Caenorhabditis elegans: one gene and its partners. The protein of the gene in region 1 interacts with the protein of each later gene in a pairwise test. Each region holds a gene or a part of one and is shown in the gene's direction. Other genes may lie near its edges.

Region 1 (8,229 bases):
TTTTACTAAATTTTAATATTCAATCATTTACTATATATAAAGCGCGTGTCCTTCCGTCCGTTTGTAGTTTGTAGTTTGATCTTTGATCTTTGGTCTTTGAACTCTGTAGTTTGTAGTCTCAATCACCTAAGAGGGGTCCTATAGGCCCCGCCCCTTTTGTGACGTCATCACAAATTGGCGGGAAATTCAAATTTTCTGAGAAATCATTTTGGCGGGAATTCAAATTTTAATTTTTTTAAAATATTTTGGCGGGAATTTAAAATTTTAATTTTTTGAAAATATTTTGGCGGGAATTCAAATTTTAATTTTTTAAAAATATTTTGGCGGGAATTTAAAATTTTAATTTTTTGAAAATATTTTGGCGGGAATTTAAAATTTTAATTTTCTGAAAATATTTTGGCGGGAATTCAAATTTTAATTTTTTGAAAATATTTTGGCGGGAATTTAAAATTTTAATTTTTTGAAAATATTTTGCCGGGAATTCAAATTTTAATTTTTTGAAAATATTTTGGCGGGAATTTAAAATTTTAATTTTTTGAAAATATTTTGGCGGGAATTCAAATTTTAATTTTTTGAAAATATTTTAACGGGAATTTAAAATTTTAATTTTTTGAAAATATTTTGGCGGGAATTCAAATTTTAATTTTTTGAAAATATTTTGGCGGGAATTCAAATTTTAATTTTTTGAAAATATTTTGGCGGGAATTCAAATTTTAATTTTTTGAAAATATTTTGGCGGGGAATTCAAATTTTAATTTTTTGAAAATATTTTGGCGGGAATTTAAAATTTTAATTTTTTGAAAATATTTTGGTGGGAATTTAAAATTTTAATTTTTTGAAAATATTTTGGCGGGAATTCAAATTTTAATTTTTTGAAAATATTTTGGCTGGAATTTAAAATTTCTGAGAAAAAGAACCTTCGTGTCGAGACCCATCGTGGTGAGACCCTTCGTGGTGAGACCCATCGTGGTGAGACCCATCGTGGTGAGACCCTTCGTGGTGAGACCCATCGTGGTGAGACCCATCGTGGTGAGACTCATCGTGGTGAGACCCTTCGTGGTGAGACCTTTCGTGGTGAGACCCATCGTGGTGAGACCTTTCGTGGTGAGACCCATCGTGGTGAGACCTTTCGTGGTGAGACCCATCGTGGTGAGACCTTTCGTGGTGAGAACTTTCGTGGTGAGACCCATCGTGGTGAGACCTTTCGTGGTGAGACCCATCGTGGTGAGACCTTTCGTGGTGAGACCTTTCGTGGTGAGACCTTTCGTGGTGAGACCCATCGTGGTGAGACCCTTCGTGGTGAGACCCATCGTGGTGAGACCCATCGTGGTGAGACTCATCGTGGTGAGACCCTTCGTGGTGAGACCCATCGTGGTGAGACCTTTCGTGGTGAGACCCATCGTGGTGAGACCTTTCGTGGTGAGACCCATCGTGGTGAGACCTTTCGTGGTGAGACCCATCGTGGTGAGACCTTTCGTGGTGAGACCTTTCGTGGTGAGACCTTTCGTGGTGAGACCCATCGTGGTGAGACCCTTCGTGGTGAGACCCATCGTGGTGAGACCCTTCGTGGTGAGACCCATCGTGGTGAGACCCATCGTGGTGAGACTCATCGTGGTGAGACCCTTCGTGGTTAGACCCATCGTGGTTAGACCCATCGTGGTGAGATCTTTCGTGGTGAGACCCATCGTGGTGAGACCCATCGTGGTTAGACCCATCGTGGTGAGATCTTTCGTGGTGAGCCCCATCGTGGTGAGACCCATCGTGGTGAGACTTTTCGTGGTGAGACCCATCGTGGTGAGACTTTTCGTGGTGAGACCCATCGTGGTGAGACCTTTCGTGGTGAGACCCTTCGTGGAGAGACTCTTCGTGTTTGATATTATATTGGCGGGAGCTAAGGAGTTGGTGTGGGATAATGTCAAGGTACTCTAGGGGTATTGTGGATTTGCTGTAGGGTTACTGTAGTTCAGAAAAAATTGACTTTGTGCTTTTGAAGAGGTATTGGCTCGAGAGTTAGAGAGGCGGAAGCTTCTGTGATATTTTTTACATTCCAGAATGTTTGAAAAAGTAAAAGTTTCCACCTGTTTTCATGTGACATTGTTAAAAGATTATATAGTGTTTTATGTGTCGAACAATTTAAATTTCGCCAGTCGTTGGCCGCGCCGTAGGCGCGGTCAGCGGCTGGTAGATAAATAAATGATTTTAATTCATTTCGAAAGTCGAGTGCGTAAATCGACACACACAAGAGCTACAGTAGTCATTTAAAGGATTACTGTAGATATCGCTACGAGATATTTTACGCGTCAAATATGTTGCGCAAAACGCGTTCCTAGAATTTTATGTTTCCGTAATGAACTCTTTTACAACGTGCAGTATTTTAACTATGTCTACTAGATTGTCGACCGCGGTTGCATCGAGGTCCACCACTAATTTCATAGCATCGAAATTGACCTAGAAACTTTAAACCAAATTTTTAAAATTCAGCTTCCCACAGCTCTCCGTGCCATGATGCTCAACCCTACCGAGGCTCTTCTAGCCGAAGTGAGCAAGGCAAGAACTTCCGGAGCACGCATCACAGTTGAAGAGTTTATTCCTATCTACAAAAAGGTTGAAGCTGCCTGCGGGCGAAGCACTACACTCAAGGAGTTTCAGGTTCGATTTCTTGAAGGTTTTTTAGACAACATTTCCGAATTTTCAGACGCTTCTATCGCACTTCGACCGCGAGGGAAACGGACAAATAATGCTCATGGAGCTTAAGAGCATGCTCCAAAACGGCGGGGAGAAGATGACGAATCAGGAGGTGGACAATTTGCTGTTCGGCGTGGAAGTCGTCGACGGACGAATCAATATCAACAACTTCCTCAACAGGCATCTTCAGATGGGGCTTGAGGAGTCTGAGAAATGATTTTTTGCTGATGATGTGATGTAATGCGGCCTTTCCAAAATTATCGTGCTAAAACTATAATATTGCCTGTCCTTGTGAATAGTAAAACACAATCTGAAATGTGATTTGAATAAAAAGTTAAACTACTGTGTTTTTCAAGGCGCGCGCATTGAAACCTGCGACAGGTCTCGACACGATCTACAGAAATTTGAATTTCAATCACAAATTTACACTCGATCACTCCGCAATTGGTTTTCTGCGAACAAATCAATTTTTCGATGTTCAAATGATTCCCGTTTCTAGATTTTTCACGGTTCAGGTAAAATTCCTATTGATTTCCACTCTAAAACCAAAATTTAAGGACCCATCAAACGCGCTCCTCTCGTACACACAAAAGGGAATAGATTTTTTCGAAAAATTAGGTCAATTCTCGAAGGAAAAAGCTGCGATTGAGGAGGAATATTCTACGAAATTGAGGTTTCAGTTTAAACAAACGGAATTTGAAGTTTTTCATAACTTTCTGTAGGAGTCTCGCAAAGAAATATGCGAAAAAATCGGAAGAAGATGATGAAATTCTAAAAAGTGTAAGCTACACCAGCTCATTCAACTCATTTCTTCAACAACTTGATCAGATTGCCACTCGACATCAAGTATAAGAATTCTGTCAGATTTTAGTTGAAAAAAACATCGAATTTCAGACGTCGGCGGAGCACATCCGGGGAGGTGTGGTTTCCTACGTGGCTTCGAAGACGTGTCAGATGAGAAGTTCCCGGAAAAATGCGATTAATGACTTGAAAACTATCAATGACAAGCTGGAAGATCAGATCAACGAGATGTGCAAGTCTGGGAAGTGTTACCTGTAGGAAAAAATCTGAAAAAAGTCGATTTGAATCGTTAATATTGCAGAAAATCGTTCAAAGACGCGGAAAACTCGTATCAAAAGTTTTACAAAGCTGATAAAAATCTGGAAATTTCGCGGCTTGAGTTAGAAAAAGCCAGGGCTCTTGCGAATGTAATAGGCTCAAAAAATCGCAAAACGCTTTTATTTATTTATTTCAGGCTCGAAATGAAGCATGTGAACTTGCTAAACAGGACTACTCAGCGCTGGTTCGCAAAACCAACGCCGAGCAAAAAAGATACCACGTGGAACTGCTCCCAGTGATTTTCGCGCGGCTCAAGGCGGTCGACAAGGAGTGTATCGCCGATATGCGACAAGTTTTGCAGAAAATTGTCTCCTTCGATGACTCGCTAGCTGATTCAACCGGTTATTATCGCGTTTAGAAGAAAAAATCGACGATGTTTTTTGCAGAAGAATGCCGAAAAATCATGCAAAGGGAAGTTGGGAAAATCGACGCGGAAGGTGATGCTCAGCTGGTTTTGAAATCCGTTGAGTCAGTATTTTTCGACTGAAAATCCGTAAAAATAGATAATTTCCAGAGCAACCATCGAGCAGCCGGCTCCGTTTGAAATCGAGGATCTGGGGGATCCCAAAAATTGTGACAGCCGGACAAATGGTGAATAGAAATCTGTAAAAGTCGGAACTTTGCAGTTTTTGACTCGAAATTTCCTTTTTCTAGAATTTATCTTCTGAATTTATTTAATTTTAAAATACTAAATACATATTTTCAAACCTTTTCCAAATAAAAATACACATTTCCAGATTCTGCCGACGGAAGTGGAGGAAAATTGCTGAAAAGCAGCCCTAGCAAGAATCGAATAATTCGCAATTTTCTGGGCATTCTCAAGGAAAAGGAGGCGGATGAGAAGCCCGAGGCTTCCAACAACGATCAATTGATGTATACCGACAAGAGCAAGCCTGCGCACGTGCGGCTTTCGTGTCTTCGCTCCAAAATTCGAGATATGGAAAAACAGTTGGAACAAGCGATTCAGGGACGAGAAGGCATCACTAGGTACGAGTAGATGCACCGAGAGCACTGAAACTTTGAGAAAATTTCAACAAAAAAAAGACAAACAAATTCTAGTCCAATGAAAGTTTAAATTTACAGTAATCTTTAAGGGTACATACCGGTTTGTATTCAACACAAATTTGTCGTCTCGAAACTGATTACTGTATTTTTGGCACTTAATTTCGCATCTAAGTAATGGAAAAATGATTTTCTCTGAAGTTCTGCCAAAAGTGTAGAAAAGAAAAATAATATCTCTAAAATAGGCGGGCCCAAAACTTTACGTTTGCTGTAATTTCAGACTGCAACAAGCCTACTACACAAATCCGCAGCACGGGAATCCGTCGGCGTGCACGGAACCACTTATATCGTACGCTAAAAAGATAGAGAAGCTCAAAATGGATATACATAACCTCAAGGAGTTCTACGCGATGCTTGAAATGAGTGTGGAAGGTGCTGAAAATACAAAGAATGGATGAAAATGAAACGTTTTTCGTCAAATTTTCGAAAATTCTAGTTAAAATACCTCTTTTCAAAAAATGAATGTCTTCTTTTAAAAATAATCCCTTTAAACACAAATTTTCCAGAAGGCCAGGAGCGCTCTTTTGGCGGCCGTGATACCCCTGACACAACGAGAAGCATGTCAGGCAGTTCGACAAATCAATCATCATCCAAAACTATCGAAGACGTGCTGGTATCACTAAACTGTTCGGTTTTTCCTGAAAATTATCGTATTTTGCAGTCTGGCGAAGCGGGAAATTCTTCATCAGCAGATGACTCGTCGAAGAATATCGTAAGCAGCCAAAAGTTGTTTTTCAGGAAAAAAAACAAATTACTGAAGTCTTACTCAATTTTAAAACTTCCTTATACTTAAAAATATAAGAATTACCGTTAAAGCAAACTTCTAACATGTTGTTGCAACACCGCTATGTGTCGATTTACGCATCTCGTGTACTCTCCGAGAAGAACGGTGCATTTATTTTTCCCAATTTATTTTTTGGTTTTTTGTCTGAAACACTTTAAATTAAAAAATAATTTGGCTATTTCAGCGTTGAATACCAAAAAAAATTAGAGGACATAGTCAAAAACCGATAATACGAGAATTTGAAATTACAGTATTCTTCAATACGTACACCTTTTCGCGTTTAGTACAAATTTGTCGTGTCGAAATACCGTACTTTTGGCGCAATAAAAAATAATTGATTGTTCGTTTAGAGACCCACTGTGCGTTTTTCAGCTCCGCCAACTGTTTACAACTCCGAAACGGCTTATCTCCTCGCCAAAAACCTCGAAGTCTTCAACTCCGACGCCACTACGACGAAGAGCCGAAATCTCATCACCAAAGATTCTCAGATCCTCATTTTCAGGTTAAATTAAAAATCCATTTTTTTCCTTTTAAAAGCTTTTATAAAAGAAAAAATAGTTAAATATAAGTATAAATTTTTTGCAGGTGCCATTCGCAAATCTTTATCGACTCCCGATTCAGTTAAAGTCGAGACAGCGGTTACGGTAACCGCACTGTTCGAATTTGCCAAATCCTCCGCGGAGACCATGTCCATCGAGCAGGGCGAAATTCTTCTCGTACTCGAACACGATCACGGAGATGGATGGACTCGAACCAAAAAGTAATACAAGTAACAAAGAATTACCAAGTAAATAAAATGAAAGTTGCAGGAAACACAACGAAGAGTCAGGATTCGTGCCAACTTCGTATTTGCAATTCCCCCAGTGATTTCATAAATTAAATAGCATTATCATCATCAATATTGTACTCGAGACTGCGCTTATTATCGTCCTGTGAATGAAATAATTGATTATAAAAACAGATTCTTCGATTTTCGATTCATATTGCCATTTACGGAGAAAATGCACATAAAAAGTAATGGTATAATAAATTACAGGAAGTGGGAGAATGGGAGGCACCGCGGATTGTTGAGTTTAAAATGGGAAAAAAACATTGCACAATAAATTAGTAAAAAAGAACGGTTAGGCTATCTAGACAAATTAAATCAGCTTCACATAATTAGCGGGAAAAAGGCCTACGCGGCCGCTGGGCGCACGTCCTTTCCACCATCCGCTATCGACTTGATCGATATCTGTGATAATGTCATCAGGATCAAATGAGATCTCCGTGTCATCTGCAGCCTGGTAGTCCCAGAGAGCCATCGCGTTCTGCTCGGCGACCGCCGGCGGGAAATCGTACTGATCAATTGGTGGAGCAGCGACTTTTATTGGCGAGGATTTCGGTGCAAACACGGGCTCCTCTGGCATCACTGGAGGCATGTCATACTGTGAGGCGATGTGAGCTGGCAGTTGAGAGCTCGATGAGTGAGAGTCGATCGGCTCCGGCGGAGCATCATACTGAGACGCATAGTGGGAAGGAGCTGAAACTGGAGGTACAGCTGGTTCGAAAGACTCGTGAACCGGTGGAGCATCGTACTGGGAGGCGTAATGCGATGGAGCTGGAGTTGGCTCAGGTGGAGGTGGAGCAATGACCGGGGTTGGAGCAAGGAATGTAGGTGGAGCTGGCTCTGCTGGTGGCTCTTCGTATGCATCGTAAGAGACGGCAGGTTCTGAAAATATTCAAATTAGGACTAATAAACTTTATACGAAAACTGACTCATAGCCTCGGGCTTGTAAACCATTGGCTCTGGCTCATAAGCTATTGGCTTTGGCGTATACGTCGAAGGCTCATCTGGCTCAGTGAGTCGGTTAACGGGTTCACGGGGCGGAGAGGTCGTGCCAACTGGCGGCCACTTCTTAGGCGATCCATTCACTTGAGGCTTCGGAAGCACTGGACCGGAAGGTTTTGAGCTGAATAATTCTTTTCTGCTTCCAACGAGACCTGCGCTCGGAGTGGGGGCGGGAGCTGGAGCTGGATTCACCGAAGATGGCACGGGCTTATCACTAATTTGAGCCTTCCCGTGAAGATCATCCGCAATCCGTTTTCGATCCGTCTCGAATTCCTTCTGCTTCTGGGCCTGTGCCTCTTTTTCCTCCGCTTGCCGCCGCTGCTCCTCCTCGTTCATCTTGCTCCAGAACTCTTCGCGAGCTGATGAACTGATCTCCACGTGCGGTTTTGTTGGCTTGTACACCGATGTGACCTTATCCGGTTGATAGTTTTCTGTTTTGGAGTGAATTTCCGAGGCCATTCGCTGTCGATCCGCTTCGAACTGCTTGTGTGCTTGTTCACGAGCGGTTTTTTCTTCTTCTTGACGCCTAAAATTGCGAATTCTATTTCAATAAATTACTCAAAACACCCACAGCTTCTCCTCCTCGTTCATCTTGCTCCAAAACTCCTCCCGTTTGACCGTCTTCAGCTCAACGTGGGGCTTCGTCGGCTTGTACACCGAGTTAACCTTCTCCGGCTGGAAATCTTCGGCTTTTGTGTGAATTGCCGCGGCCGTGCGATCACGGTCAGCTTCATACTGCTTTTGCTGTTTC
Region 2 (7,140 bases), on another chromosome or scaffold:
AATAGTATTGCAGTCTCTATTAGTCTTGCTCCCCTACGGGTCGTTTGAAAATTAGTCTTGCATGCAAGACTAATAGAGGGTATCTGAAAATATATTACTTGAGTCTAAAAACCATCGGTAATTTTCCGGAGATTTTGAAATCCTAGAATACGTCGACTGAAAAGTTTTAAATATCTCTTTGAAATCTATCCATGCATTTTGTTTGCTAACCGCCAAACCTTATCCCGATGTTTCTGGTTTGCACTAATTTCTATTCGACCCTCTCTCGTTTATCGTAAATCTCCGTCTTACGGGTCATATCTGCCTTCTTTATTTTCTTTCCAAAAGGGTTACTTTCTTGGAAAATGAGATGAAAATAGACCTCATTTCCATTTTCTACTAAACTTCTACAGTCCGTTCTGGCAATGGCCATTGTGACTATTCATCCAATTCGCGACTTTTCAAACTGTTATGAGTAGTAATCGGGCATTCCGCCATCGTTTTCACAACTGTTTTCCGATTTTCTTTTGTTGGACTTGAGAATTGGAATTCAATTCTTTCACACAAGACATTGTCACTTTTGCAACGTTCGGTTCCACTTTTTTATCATAATAACTATAATCAATCATAGTAAATGTTTGCAAGCTTCTGTTATTAGGATGGTTTTTTGTCGCAGATTTTTTTGCTTATTATAAAGGTACATATCACTAGCATTAATAATGAAAATTTTTTAACTTGATTTTGAGGTTGTTATGTTTTATTGTAAAATCAAAATATTTTTAACTAACTCATTTTAGCACTGCTGAATAATTAATAAGTACAACTATTTAACAGATTTTTTTTGAGTCACAATCCGGGATGGACGGCATTCTAAAATGTTGGGCATTTCGGATGTTTCGGCAGATGTTGAGTTTTAAAAATTGTGGCAATCGGTTTTTTCGGCAATTGCCGTCTACCCCTTATGAAAATATTTATTTCAAAATGTACCTGTTACAAAAATGCCACTTTCAAAAAAATTCTCTATTAAATTTTTTTTTCGATAAAAATTTACGAGGTTTGATGTAAATTATTATTAGTAGTAATAGATATCTTTTGGAAAATTTAATATGTAGTGCAATCATTCTCCAATCTCGGTAATATTGACTTATTTAATATTTTGCCTTAATTTAGCCACCAATATTAGACAATATTATTTCAAACGTCCTGAATGAAATCATCATTCGGAAGTGATCTAATCCATTTAACAAATAAATATTTATATCTAAAGCTTTTCGCCCGTCATCCTATCATCGCCTTTTTCGTCCTTTTCCCTATAATCAGACTATCGGTGAACGAGGAGAGAAATGTCAATAAACAAATTGATTAATCATCTTTGACAGGTGCCGGTGACCGGAAAATCCGTCATATCATAGTGTGAGGCAATCCGTTTTGAAAAAAATTCTATTGTGTTTGCAAAGTTAAACAGTTTTCAATATTCGTGTAATCTTAATTTTTTGTTTAGTGAGATTCATTTAAAAAAAGTAGTTCGAAATTTCAACGTTCCTCTAGATTCCTGACCACTTTCATTCTTAAACCGAATTATAACACATAACATCATGCACAAACATTATCATAATCTGTTGTATTTCCATCTTTATTTCTTATCACTTTTCGCATCTGTAGTTCGTTACAATTTTACGAGTTCTCGCTCATTCTCACTCCCGACTATCTTTCATTCCATTCCTCTCGATATTTATATTCATAATAAATAAATGCACTATAAATTTCTCCATCATCATTTTGCCTAGATTAATTCAACAATTGCATTTGGAGAGTAGCATATGTTTTCAGAATTTGTTCAAAATCACCTAGAATTCATCAATCAAGTCTGGAGTTTAAAAAAAAACCTAAGCTTTTATCCTCATCTTTTCACAAAACATCATCATTAACCGTTACTAAAGTATGCAACTATTAATCTGCTACTGCTTGTTGTTGTTTTGTATACATATCATGTTGTATTACATGTTGCTGGTCGACATCTCCTGTGAATTTAGTTTTACATTTTATTAGTTTTTTTGCACCTCTGAATACTATATTTTTATCATTAATAAAATAATATAATATCTAAATTCAAACAAATTCGAATTGTTTCTGTGCCAAAAACTATTCACGTTATGAATTGGTAACACTGAAAACTTCAGATGATGTTTTTAAAATATTTTTTTTTAAATATTTTTAAACTCAAAATTGGAACTATTTCAATTTCAGGGGTGCGCGACATTTGGTAATTTTGAAAACATTGGAAATAAAAATTACAGGAATTGCCGGATTTTGTTGGCAATCTTGTAACCTAACAAATTTAAGCTTGAAATGTCATGTGTATTTTAGTAGAGTTTTTTTGTCATCCGTTTGCTTGAGATAATTCAAAAATTTTAGAATTTGAGATACTTTTTTTTTCCAATTCCCGCGCACCTCTGTAGATCACAAAACTTGTTTTGTAATTAACTTTGTCATTTTATTAAAAGAATGTAACTTCTATATGAAGAGTATTTATTGTATTTAACAAAGAAATACGAATAATTTTGATTTTCTAACCAAGCCCAATGTTTTACTAGCTTGAAGTTTGATGTAACTCCATTATTGCACAGTAATCTGTGGTGTGAAACTGGCACGTATGTATGATTGAAATCACTAGAGAGATAAAAGAAGATAAAAGATTTTGCAAAAGTGGTTTAGTGCGGCACAAGCAATTGTTATGCGCTACCAACTTGTCTTCGTGTTCGCCAGAACTCACGAGCAAACACCACACTCTCTTCTCTTCTTGACAGTACAAAGAAATTGGCACATAATAGAAACCTGAGAGCTCTTTACTTCTTCCGTAGCACATCCTTCTTTTGTTTTTCGCTCATTTTCGTGTGTGTTATTCTCCCATCATCGTATTTTTTCACTACATATGCATAAAGTTGTTGATACATCATAGTCTGAATCATGGAACATCTCGTGGTCGCACATGTCTCCTTCTTCAAATTTTTTATTCAACAAAACAATGATTTCAAATTGTTGTATAAAAAACTAACCAAGCCTTTTTAAATTGCTAAGTTTCCGTTCAACAATTCATGTTCCTATTGAATCATTTTTTATTGTTGAAACCCATTATTCTACATTCAGCAATATGTAGGCAATTTGATTGAAATTCTATCCGCTTTTCCAAAAAGGAATGATGAAAATTTTAAAGGTTTTTTTTTCAGAATTGTATGGACATAGAAAATCTACAATCGTCAAACAACAGGTCACAGAAAAGTCGTCCTCCGGACGGCTTCAACGCCATCTTACAGACAGCATTTTCTGCTATTTTGGTGAGTATTTTTGCCATAATTTTAATACAAGTTAATACTAAATTAAAAATACTCCTATTAAATTTTTTAACTTAAAGGTAAAGTTAGGCCAAAACGAGATTTTCATTCGAGAAGAGATATTCATTCAGATTTCGCGCCTTTCTCGAAAATTGTCAAAATTCGTAAATATTGGATAATAATTAAAAAAATTTTTGAAGTTTCACGATGATTTTTTTTCAGTCCATCTTTATATTTATATCACATCCCTCTATATGATATTGAATCTGACATATGTTTTCTTTAAAATAAGCGTTCAGCCTGAGACCCTTCCCTCTCTCAATTATAATAAGAACAAAAGGGTATCAAAAATGCGGATCTTTTTCTTTAAATCGTGTCAAATTTCTCACAGTTTCCCGTGTTATTTCCAAGCATATTCTTCTTTTTACACCGGGCTTTCCGCTCTCAGAATTTATTAAATTCAAAATGTTTCGCGTATGGGTGGCAGCAAAAGCGTGCAATTGTGGATCTCGTACATTCGCTTGCAGACATGACCACCACACTTCCACTTTTTTCTAATAATCATTGCATTTCGGATACTAATTGCGTCTTGTGGTTGTCGGGTGGCCCTTCAACCGTCTCATTACATAAGGGCCTTCGTTCCGATAACTTTTTGCCCTTTTGGCGATCTGAAAACTGAGAGGAAAGAGGAAAACTAGTCCAGTAGATACACTATCCATTCATTAGAGAAAATTTGAATTCTTGACGCCTTCACCATTCCATTTCAATTCCCACACACCTTCTTACAACAATTCACCAATTAATTTGCTTTCTGAATTCAGGCGTTTGTCCTCTCTCTACGTATAATTGTGTTCGCCACGGCCCGGAAACGACTTACCACCACGGCGGCAAATCCGGATATTCAGGTTGAGGAGGCGTCGTCTTCCTCATCCGATACCAGCTCCGACACCGAAATTGTAGAAGAGGGTGTATTTATACAGGTGAGACCTTTTCTTGATTGTTTTTTCTTTTCACAAGACATTATCAATTTTTTATACTTTTGCCGTATAGGTTAAAAACTGAGTTTTAACATTTAACGTCTTGAAAGCGGAATTTTGTTTTCATTCACATATGAATAATTGTCAAACACGATTAAATATCGTAATTACACACATTTTAAGTTTTCATGTTCTTCGGAAGAATTATTTTCGGGAGAATAAGAATTATTTTTGAAAAAATGTCTTGCTTTCAAATAATTTCTCAATTATTTTGGGCATTACTGGAGATTTGAACACAACAATGTATATATAAAAATAATATGAATCTCCTTAATGTGTAAAACTGACAGGACATGTATTTTTTGGTTGACTTCCAAATGATTTATTGAAACTAAGTAAATGTTACTTTGTTTTGATTTTGTGTGTGATTTAAAAATTATATACATTTTTGATATGTTTGTTGGCTATTTTCGGATAGTGTAAATGTCTTGATCATATTAATATGCTAGGGATACCCCACATTCGAACAGTTCCAGATGATATTGAATGAAGATAATTTTAATAATAGTGGTAACGGAATAGAATGTATACATTGTAAAATTATACAACTTTTGAGCAAAAATTCACAATTAATTTACTCACAACACATGTGTTATTCAAAATTGTACGTGAAGCAATAAATCAAAAATTTAATTATAAAAGTGTCAAAATTATTATTTCTTTCCTGAAATTTATCTAATAACCATGTCTTGATTATGAGTCACTGACTAGAAATTTGCTTATTTTTAGTTTAATTTACGTTACCTACCTTAGTATTCAGTTCTTAATTCGCATCTTTTCCCAATTCCACTTGGCCAATTTTCTTCAAATTACCAATTCTGAACCATCTAACTCAACTCATCAAATCTCGACTCATTCATTCCACCAGACTCTAGCAACCTTATTAAAACTGTTCAATTGTTCCGTTGGAGATGTCAAGAGGGGCAGAAAACAGAGAGGGTCACAGACGTTTGCCCTTCCTCCAAATCGTCTTGGCCACTAACCTCTGTCGTGTTTTTTAATGTGCTACTACCTGGCTTCTTATGTGGTATTTGTGGTGTATATGTTGAATTTGTGTTATACTTTTACTTTTCTATATTCACGAGTTTTATACAGTTTAGAATTTATTTGTTCAACTAAAAATCTGCAAATGTCTCGATTGTAATTACTTAGTATACTTAGTAGGTTTAACGAACTTGAACTTTTTAATTTTTACTTATATTTGTAGTGAATTGATTATTGTAGGGATTATTCGTGTTTTAAATTTGAAAAAAAAAACACTTGTACCCTCTTGCTCCACCTTGGCAGTACTTGGGTAATTTTTGTTTTTATCAAAAAAAAATAAAATAGTCAAAATAGTCAACTAAGAAATATTAAATTCAACATAATTTTTTTCTTTGATAAACCCAAGGAGAACCGAAGTGTAAGCCGACAACTCAATAGTGAAAGTGAATTTTACTTTTACATAATTTTCCTTAGTGAAACTAAGTTGCGGAAAATTTTCTCAAACGATGCCAACTGGGAAAAGTCGAGTAAAAAGATACTGCCGTGCACTGCACGGTATACAAAAAGGAGATGCACCAACCTCAGCCACCTTGTCAATACACACAAATATGCATATACGTACCAGCTAACGCATATAAAAAGCCCTGTTTATTCAGATGATTCACACAAAACAACCCCGCCAGCTCTTCTGCCTTTTTGCCCCTTTTTCTTTTTTCTCTGTACATCGTTGTGTTCATATAATACAATATGTTTGATTTTTTGACTTTTGCATCCATCTCTATTCCTCTTCAAGTCACCAATCTTTCGCACTTTTTGTTTTTTCTTTATGTCTCGGGATTTCTTCATTTTCTGGTCATTTGTCATCAAATCATTGTACCGTCACTACCAATTAGTCATCATATCCGTTCAGTGTACAACGTTCCGTTCACTCCGAAAAGGTAGATTAATCCAAACCGCCTGTCAATCAAATTGTAGAGCCTACAACTATGATCTTACGCAGATTTCATTTCGTTTGTGTTTCTCCTTATACAATTTTCAATGCCATCACCATCACACCTTCTGATTTATGAGGTTCTGTATAGAGCGAAAGAATTGAAGGTTAACACTTACTATTAGATAAAAAGTGGAATAAAAACCAAAATCAAAACCAATATCTAAGGTTGAAAAATAAATAAAAAATTGGATAGGTAGAGCGGTGAGCTCTTTTCCCCCGTTTGTGCAAATCTCGGTCTCGACATCTATTTGATTGTTTGCACAATGTTTTTTTTCCAGTATTATCTTCTCTTTCATTCCACTTCCCGCTTTTTAGATGATACTTTTGACCATTTCATGTAGCCGCTTTCTTTTTTGTCTATTTAAAAACAAAGTATTCTAGTTTTAGTTTTTAGTTCATGGTTTTATTTATATTAGGTGTTCCAAATTGAAGAAACTGTTTTATTGAGAATTGTTATAGTATGTTCCATTGTCAATCAAATGTTTTGGCATTTTGATTAGAATCAAAATTGTTTTTTTTTATTGAAACAATATTTTTAAAACTTTTTAATTTATTACGCTCTCTCGGAGATGTAAAAAATACACAATAAAAATAGGAAAATTTGAAAAAAAAAAAATTAAGACTCATAAACGTTGCAAATACTTTTCTCAAAACTTTATCAAACCGTATAAAAAAACTGTCACTGACAAAACCTGCATTATGTCGTTTATGCATCATAACTGTAGAATATCTTCTGATGTACTCGAAAAAAAATGAATAGTCAAATAAGAGTGGTTACTTTTGCGTCAATAAATCTACTGTAAGCAAAATTGAC
Region 3 (5,903 bases), on another chromosome or scaffold:
GTTATAATTTTAGAAATTTTAGTGGTCGTAGTAGAAATAAGTGTTGTCGAATAGCTAGCAGTTGTAGAACTTTTCACAATTTCCCCGGTTTCAATAGTATTTGAAACAGTGGATGGAGACGTTTTCTCGGGCAGAACACATGCTAAACTATCTGGAAACCCATAAGCCGCCAGGAAGATCAAAAATACACCTAGACCCATTTCTATTGCTGGTTGGAGAACTGTTTCCTTTTTTATATGAGTGCTAATGAGGTCTCATTACAGTTTTCAAATGCATATTGATTAGATGAAACGTGTATGTTATGTTAATTTGAGCAAAAAAAAGTTTCGGTTTCATAATTTTTGTTTAAAATTCGAGGGGAAATGCTTATTTAATGCTATATTCCTAGTGAAAAAAGTAAAAGTACCCGAACTTTTAAAAACTATATGAAACAGTGGATTTCTAAAAAGTTATTTTGTCAATGCTGCTTTGCAAAAAAAGTTAGAAATTTCCATTTTGTAGTTAATAAGTGATATTCAATGGTTTTTCTTTAGCATAAGCTTAATTTTTTTTTGTTTCTTTTTTGACTTAAAAAAAAATTAAAACTCGAATGTGGGTATGAGTTTTTAAGGGAGTAACGGAACAGTGATTTTTTTTTGTTTTGCAGCAGTCTTCAAAATATGGCACACGAGCCAGTTAGTAGGGAGCATTAATCAAATTAAGCTTCCAAGAAATATATAATTCATCAATCTTTAAAAAACTTATTAAATTATTGAAAACAAATAATACAATACGGACGCAAACAAACACTTTTTAATGTTCCAGGTAATTTTCAAAACAACTGCGCAATGAAAACGCTCAATTTATGGATGTAAATGTCTTTTAAAATGAAAAAACAATTTTTTTATGATACTGACTCTAGTTTTTAATTTCAAAGAGGTAGTTAAGCATGATAAATTATCCTCTTAGAAAAATAAAATTACATTCTAAAGTTGATTTATTATTTTTCAACTGTAAAATAAATGAACATGATCGTTAATATTATTTATTGCAAAAATATAAATAAGTATTGTATTGTATATACACATAACTAGTGTCACAATTATACATTGGATGACTACATTCTCTTGCAACATTGTCCATTTCCACACGGAGAATAGTTTTGCTGGCAAGAGCAGGAGTTGACTGATTGAGTGAGGCATGGCATCTGGACTAGTTGAGCAGTAGAGCACGATTGATAGCATGATTGGGTGCATGCTGGAGCACATTGCTGCATTGGTTGTTGTTGTTGAATGCATTGTTGTTGGCATGATTGTTGGCATTGTGGAACACATTGAGCAGATTGAGACACTGAAGGTTCTAGGATGACAGTCACAATTTGTGGAGCAACAACTGGAGATTGGCATGCTGATTGGCATTGCTGACATTGTGGAGCAGCTGGTTGCTGACATTGTGGAATACATTGTTGTTGGCACTGTTGAGTCTGTTGGCACGAAGTTTGACATTGTTGGCAAGCTGGTGCAGATGGAAGTGTGCATTGTGGAGCACACTGTTGCTGGCAAACTGGAGCATACTGCTGGCAAGTATTCTGGCACTGCTGGCACTGTGGAGCTGATGGCTGTTGGCATTGAGGAGCACACTGTTGTACGCATTGTGGAGCTGCTTGCTGACAGGTTGTCTGGCATGGTTGAGTACATTCCTGATAGCACTGTTGAACTGGAACTTGTTGTAGAAGACATTGTTGTTGACACTGTTGTTGGCATTGTGGAGCACATTGAGCAGAGATTCCCAAGTTGACATTGATGACTTGTGGAGCAACAGTTGGAGCACATTGTTGAACACATTGCTGCTGACATTGTGGTTGACATTGTTGAATTGGTTGAGCTTGAACACATTGTTGAGTGCACTTTTGTTGGCATTGTGGAACACACTGGACTGTGACTGGAGCTGGAGCAACACAGGATTGTTCACAGGCTGGCATGCAAGATGGTTGACATTGGACTGGAGCTGGAGCAGCTATTTGAGTATAACAGGAAGACGTCTGACAAGTCTGCTGGCATGAAGATTGACACTCATTCATAGATGGAGCAAATTGACATTGGTTCTGGCAAGACTGCTGACAAGCTGGAGCACATTGAGAAGTTTGCACTTGGTAAGTTACTTGCTGAACTGGTTGGGCACATGAGCAGGATGTCTGGACTGGAGCAGTGTTCTGACACGAACAACTGTACTGTTGTGGTTGAGTTGCTTGTTGGCATGAACAACTTGGTTGAACTTGTGAAGCACAACCACATGATTGACGTTTATCACGAATTGATGTTGCCTGGAAAAAACTTCTGTGAACTTGGAAAACAAGCATTTTGTTGCTAACATCGATTACGTCCAACAAATATTTGTAAGATGTGGGCACTTAGAAAACTAGACCGTATTATCAAGAACATTTTGAAAAAACTGTACATGATGAATTTTTCATCAAGTGATGGAAAATTGTTGTAGTTAATATAATATTTTTAATTATTAATAAACCGAAATACTAACTGAAAAAGTTTAGAAATGTCGTGCCATTCTAAAAGTGAAAGTACAATGAAACTTTATCAAACCTCGATAAGCAGACAGCTGGAAGCAAAGAGAGCTACAAATACGATGAAACGCATGATAATGGTTGAAGAAGCAGGGCTTGATGATTTCCACAGATATCAAGGCTTTATATACCCCCTCAAACACTGCTTGCGTACGATTATAGCAATGTAAAAAAATAGTGCCGGAAAAAATAGTCCAAGAGTTCAAGTCTTGTAATTTCGAATGGCTATTGTGAGAGCAAACAAAAAGGTGTTTCTAATAATGAGTGGCGTCAAAAGGCAATAAACAATTTAAAATCGTTTTGTCGAAATCCGAACTCTAAAGTTCAACAGGTAACCCTTTCATTACTTTTCTGAAAATGTAAACGAAATTTTTTGGTACACATAGTTAAGCGGAAACTCGGCGCAATCCAAAAAAAAAACACTGTATCAGTGCAAACGCGCACCCAACCTCTTTTTGATCTTTGCAACTTGCCGTGCCCTCAAGAAATAGTGTGTGTAAGACTGGGAGGCGACGAGCGTGTTTTTTGGTTCATTTGCCATGTTATCATTGTTATGTTTGCGCTGAGCATGAAGCCGGTTGATGGATGGAGTTTGATAAGTGGGACGGAACTGTTTGATGGCTAATGAAACAGGGTTGTAGGACGTTGGTATAAAAGTCGGAAAAATTAAAACAAGGGCATCAATTGTCTCTTAGCAGCTCTTCAATCATATTGACAATGCGTTTTATTACAATTGCAGCAGTTCTTCTTGTTTCTAGCCTTCTTATTGTTGAGGTACGATTTGTATTACTGTTGCTTCACTTACTTTCTGAATTATCTGTAGAATTAGTTAACAATTTATATGTACACCTTGAAACATTATATTATTTCTAGGCATCTTCAATTCGTGATAAACGTCAATCATGTGGTTGTGCTTCACAAGTTCAACCAAGTTGTTCATGCCAACAAGCAACTCAACCACAACAGTACAGTTGTTCGTGTCAGAACACTGCTCCAGTCCAGACATCCTGCTCATGTGCCCAACCAGTTCAGCAAGTAACTTACCAAGTGCAAACTTCTCAATGTGCTCCAGCTTGTCAGCAGTCTTGCCAGAACCAATGTCAATTTGCTCCATCTATGAATGAGTGTCAATCTTCATGCCAGCAGACTTGTCAGACGTCTTCCTGTTATACTCAAATAGCTGCTCCAGCTCCAGTCCAATGTCAACCATCTTGCATGCCAGCCTGTGAACAATCCTGTGTTGCTCCAGCTCCAGTCACAGTCCAGTGTGTTCCACAATGCCAACAAAAGTGCACTCAACAATGTGTTCAAGCTCAACCAATTCAACAATGTCAACCACAATGTCAGCAGCAATGTGTTCAACAATGTGCTCCAACTGTTGCTCCACAAGTCATCAATGTCAACTTGGGAATCTCTGCTCAATGTGCTCCACAATGCCAACAACAGTGTCAACAACAATGTCTTCTACAACAAGTTCCAGTTCAACAGTGCTATCAGGAATGTACTCAACCATGCCAGACAACCTGTCAGCAAGCAGCTCCACAATGCGTACAACAGTGTGCTCCTCAATGCCAACAGCCATCAGCTCCACAGTGCCAGCAGTGCCAGAATACTTGCCAGCAGTATGCTCCAGTTTGCCAGCAACAGTGTGCTCCACAATGCACACTTCCATCTGCACCAGCTTGCCAACAATGTCAAACTTCGTGCCAACAGACTCAACAGTGCCAACAACAATGTATTCCACAATGTCAGCAACCAGCTGCTCCACAATGTCAGCAATGCCAATCAGCATGCCAATCTCCAGTTGTTGCTCCACAAATTGTGACTGTCATCCTAGAACCTTCAGTTTCTCAATCTGCTCAATGTGTTCCACAATGCCAACAATCATGCCAACAACAATGCATTCAACAACAACAACCAATGCAGCAATGTGCTCCAGCATGCACCCAATCATGCTATCAATCGTGCTCTACTGCTCAACTAGTCCAGATGCCATGCCTCACTCAATCAGTCAACTCCTGCTCTTGCCAGCAAAACTATTCTCCGTGTGGAAATGGACAATGTTGCAAGAGAATGTAGTCATCCAATGTATAATTGTGACACCAGTTATGTGTATATACAAGACAATACTTCTTTATACTTTTTTAATAAATAATATTGATAACTTTAAGTTTTTACTCAAATTTAGAAAAAAAAAAAAAACTTTGACCACTGAGCGGATCGAACGCCCAACCTTTCGATCTGGAGTCGAACGCGCTACCATTGCGCCAAGCAGTCACATTTTCCTTTGTCATCTAGTGCAATGACACGAAAGGGGTAGAGAGAAAGGAGAGAATAAGGAGGGGACATATGGCGGTAGAAAAACCGGTGACGGACTACTCTCTTCATCGTTTATCACATATTCTGAGTGTTTGTTTTTTCAAATTTAATGGAGGAAATAGATAGAATAGTGAGGAAATGAGAATGTTATTGATTTTCATGGCGGCATTGGTGTGAAACTTGTTGCTCCTACTGACGCGATTGTGCCAACTCTTGACTGTTTAATCTCTTTGAAACTTCTGAACAGAATCATTCGAATTCCTGGAAGTTTGTGAGGTTTTTCTTGCACGGGTTGTTGCAAGCACCCGACATCTACCGGGTTCTCGATGTGAACATATGCTGAATCCGCTAGAAGTCAAGCGCTACGGAACACTATGGAAAAATGAAGACCGCCAGATGTCGGCTGCAACTGAAAGTTTTGGGAATTTGCTTACTTTTTGCAGTCATTCGATACTCCGAAACGACATACATCACAATAAGTGAATCCGTGGCTGGATACAAAGTAAAGCTGCACAGCATTACTCCAGACGGCAAGCTCACATCTAAGTTGAATAAAGGAAGGAAAATTATGACAGTTATTGGAATGAATAATATGATCGTCGGCATTGTGATCTACATTGTAACAATTTTAGTAATCGGACTTAAGCGGCCGACACCTTGCGGGTTTTCTGTGGAAACCCATGAGGTGTCGGGCGCAAAGCAAAATTTATATACCTGAAGGATCAATGTCTTGAAAAACTGTTTATTTTGTATCTGAGACCTGGTCTCTCGCCAAAAAGAAATAGGTTCCCAGTGCATACTGGAAGCCGAAAAATGAGCAATAGGCGACCCAGATCAGGGAGTAGAAGCCTTTGAAATAGGCGAGCTTGTTGGTGCTGAAATATAAGAATTTTGTGAAGCGCCAGACATATTCCGGGTTCAGCATTAAAAAACAGAAACCGGGCGATGTCGGGTGCTTTTTTCTCGCTGCAATAAGCGCCCGACAACTCCCTAAATTATTTTTGTTTAGGTAGACGTCGGTTGC

The links.
Region 2: the proteins of toca-2 (region 1) and ajm-1 interact in a two-hybrid assay, tested with the Caenorhabditis elegans proteins (one large-scale study listed by BioGRID).
Region 3: the proteins of toca-2 (region 1) and pqn-90 interact in a two-hybrid assay, tested with the Caenorhabditis elegans proteins (one large-scale study listed by BioGRID).

What each region holds. Positions count from the first base shown.
Region 1 is NC_003281.10:13,752,832-13,761,060, forward strand, and holds toca-2 (Transducer of Cdc42-dependent actin assembly protein 2 homolog), read left to right. Parts: upstream 1-3,112; 5' UTR 3,113-3,167; coding exon 3,168-3,200; intron 3,201-3,242; coding exon 3,243-3,358; intron 3,359-3,407; coding exon 3,408-3,531; intron 3,532-3,579; coding exon 3,580-3,740; intron 3,741-3,787; coding exon 3,788-3,893; intron 3,894-3,940; coding exon 3,941-4,145; intron 4,146-4,190; coding exon 4,191-4,272; intron 4,273-4,318; coding exon 4,319-4,395; intron 4,396-4,541; coding exon 4,542-4,791; intron 4,792-5,086; coding exon 5,087-5,238; intron 5,239-5,372; coding exon 5,373-5,479; intron 5,480-5,527; coding exon 5,528-5,578; intron 5,579-6,022; coding exon 6,023-6,152; intron 6,153-6,235; coding exon 6,236-6,410; intron 6,411-6,453; coding exon 6,454-6,517; 3' UTR 6,518-6,608; downstream 6,609-8,229. Other genes in the region: mlc-7 (EF-hand domain-containing protein), read left to right, coding at 2,482-2,649, 2,696-2,902; dbn-1 (DreBriN 1/DreBriN-like (where Drebrin is from Developmentally REgulated BRaIN protein) family homolog), read right to left, coding at 6,790-7,358, 7,406-8,004, 8,050-8,229. UniProt on the Caenorhabditis elegans protein: Plays a role in protein trafficking, actin organization and embryonic morphogenesis. Potentially acts as a cdc-42 effector. May play a role in egg laying.
Region 2 is NC_003284.9:9,079,771-9,086,910, forward strand, and holds the start of ajm-1 (Apical junction molecule ajm-1), read left to right. Parts: upstream 1-3,212; coding exon 3,213-3,314; intron 3,315-4,132; coding exon 4,133-4,291; intron 4,292-5,498; exon of another isoform or gene 5,499-5,701; intron 5,702-5,917; exon of another isoform or gene 5,918-6,059; intron 6,060-6,262; exon of another isoform or gene 6,263-6,453; intron 6,454-6,515; exon of another isoform or gene 6,516-6,663; intron 6,664-7,140.
Region 3 is NC_003282.8:15,288,637-15,294,539, reverse strand, and holds pqn-90 (Prion-like-(Q/N-rich)-domain-bearing protein), read left to right. Parts: upstream 1-3,277; coding exon 3,278-3,334; intron 3,335-3,351; exon of another isoform or gene 3,352-3,373; intron 3,374-3,403; exon of another isoform or gene 3,404-3,433; coding exon 3,434-4,639; downstream 4,640-5,903. Other genes in the region: Y73F8A.10 (Fibrinogen C-terminal domain-containing protein), read right to left, coding at 1-200; pqn-91 (Prion-like-(Q/N-rich)-domain-bearing protein), read right to left, coding at 1,097-2,302, 2,580-2,633.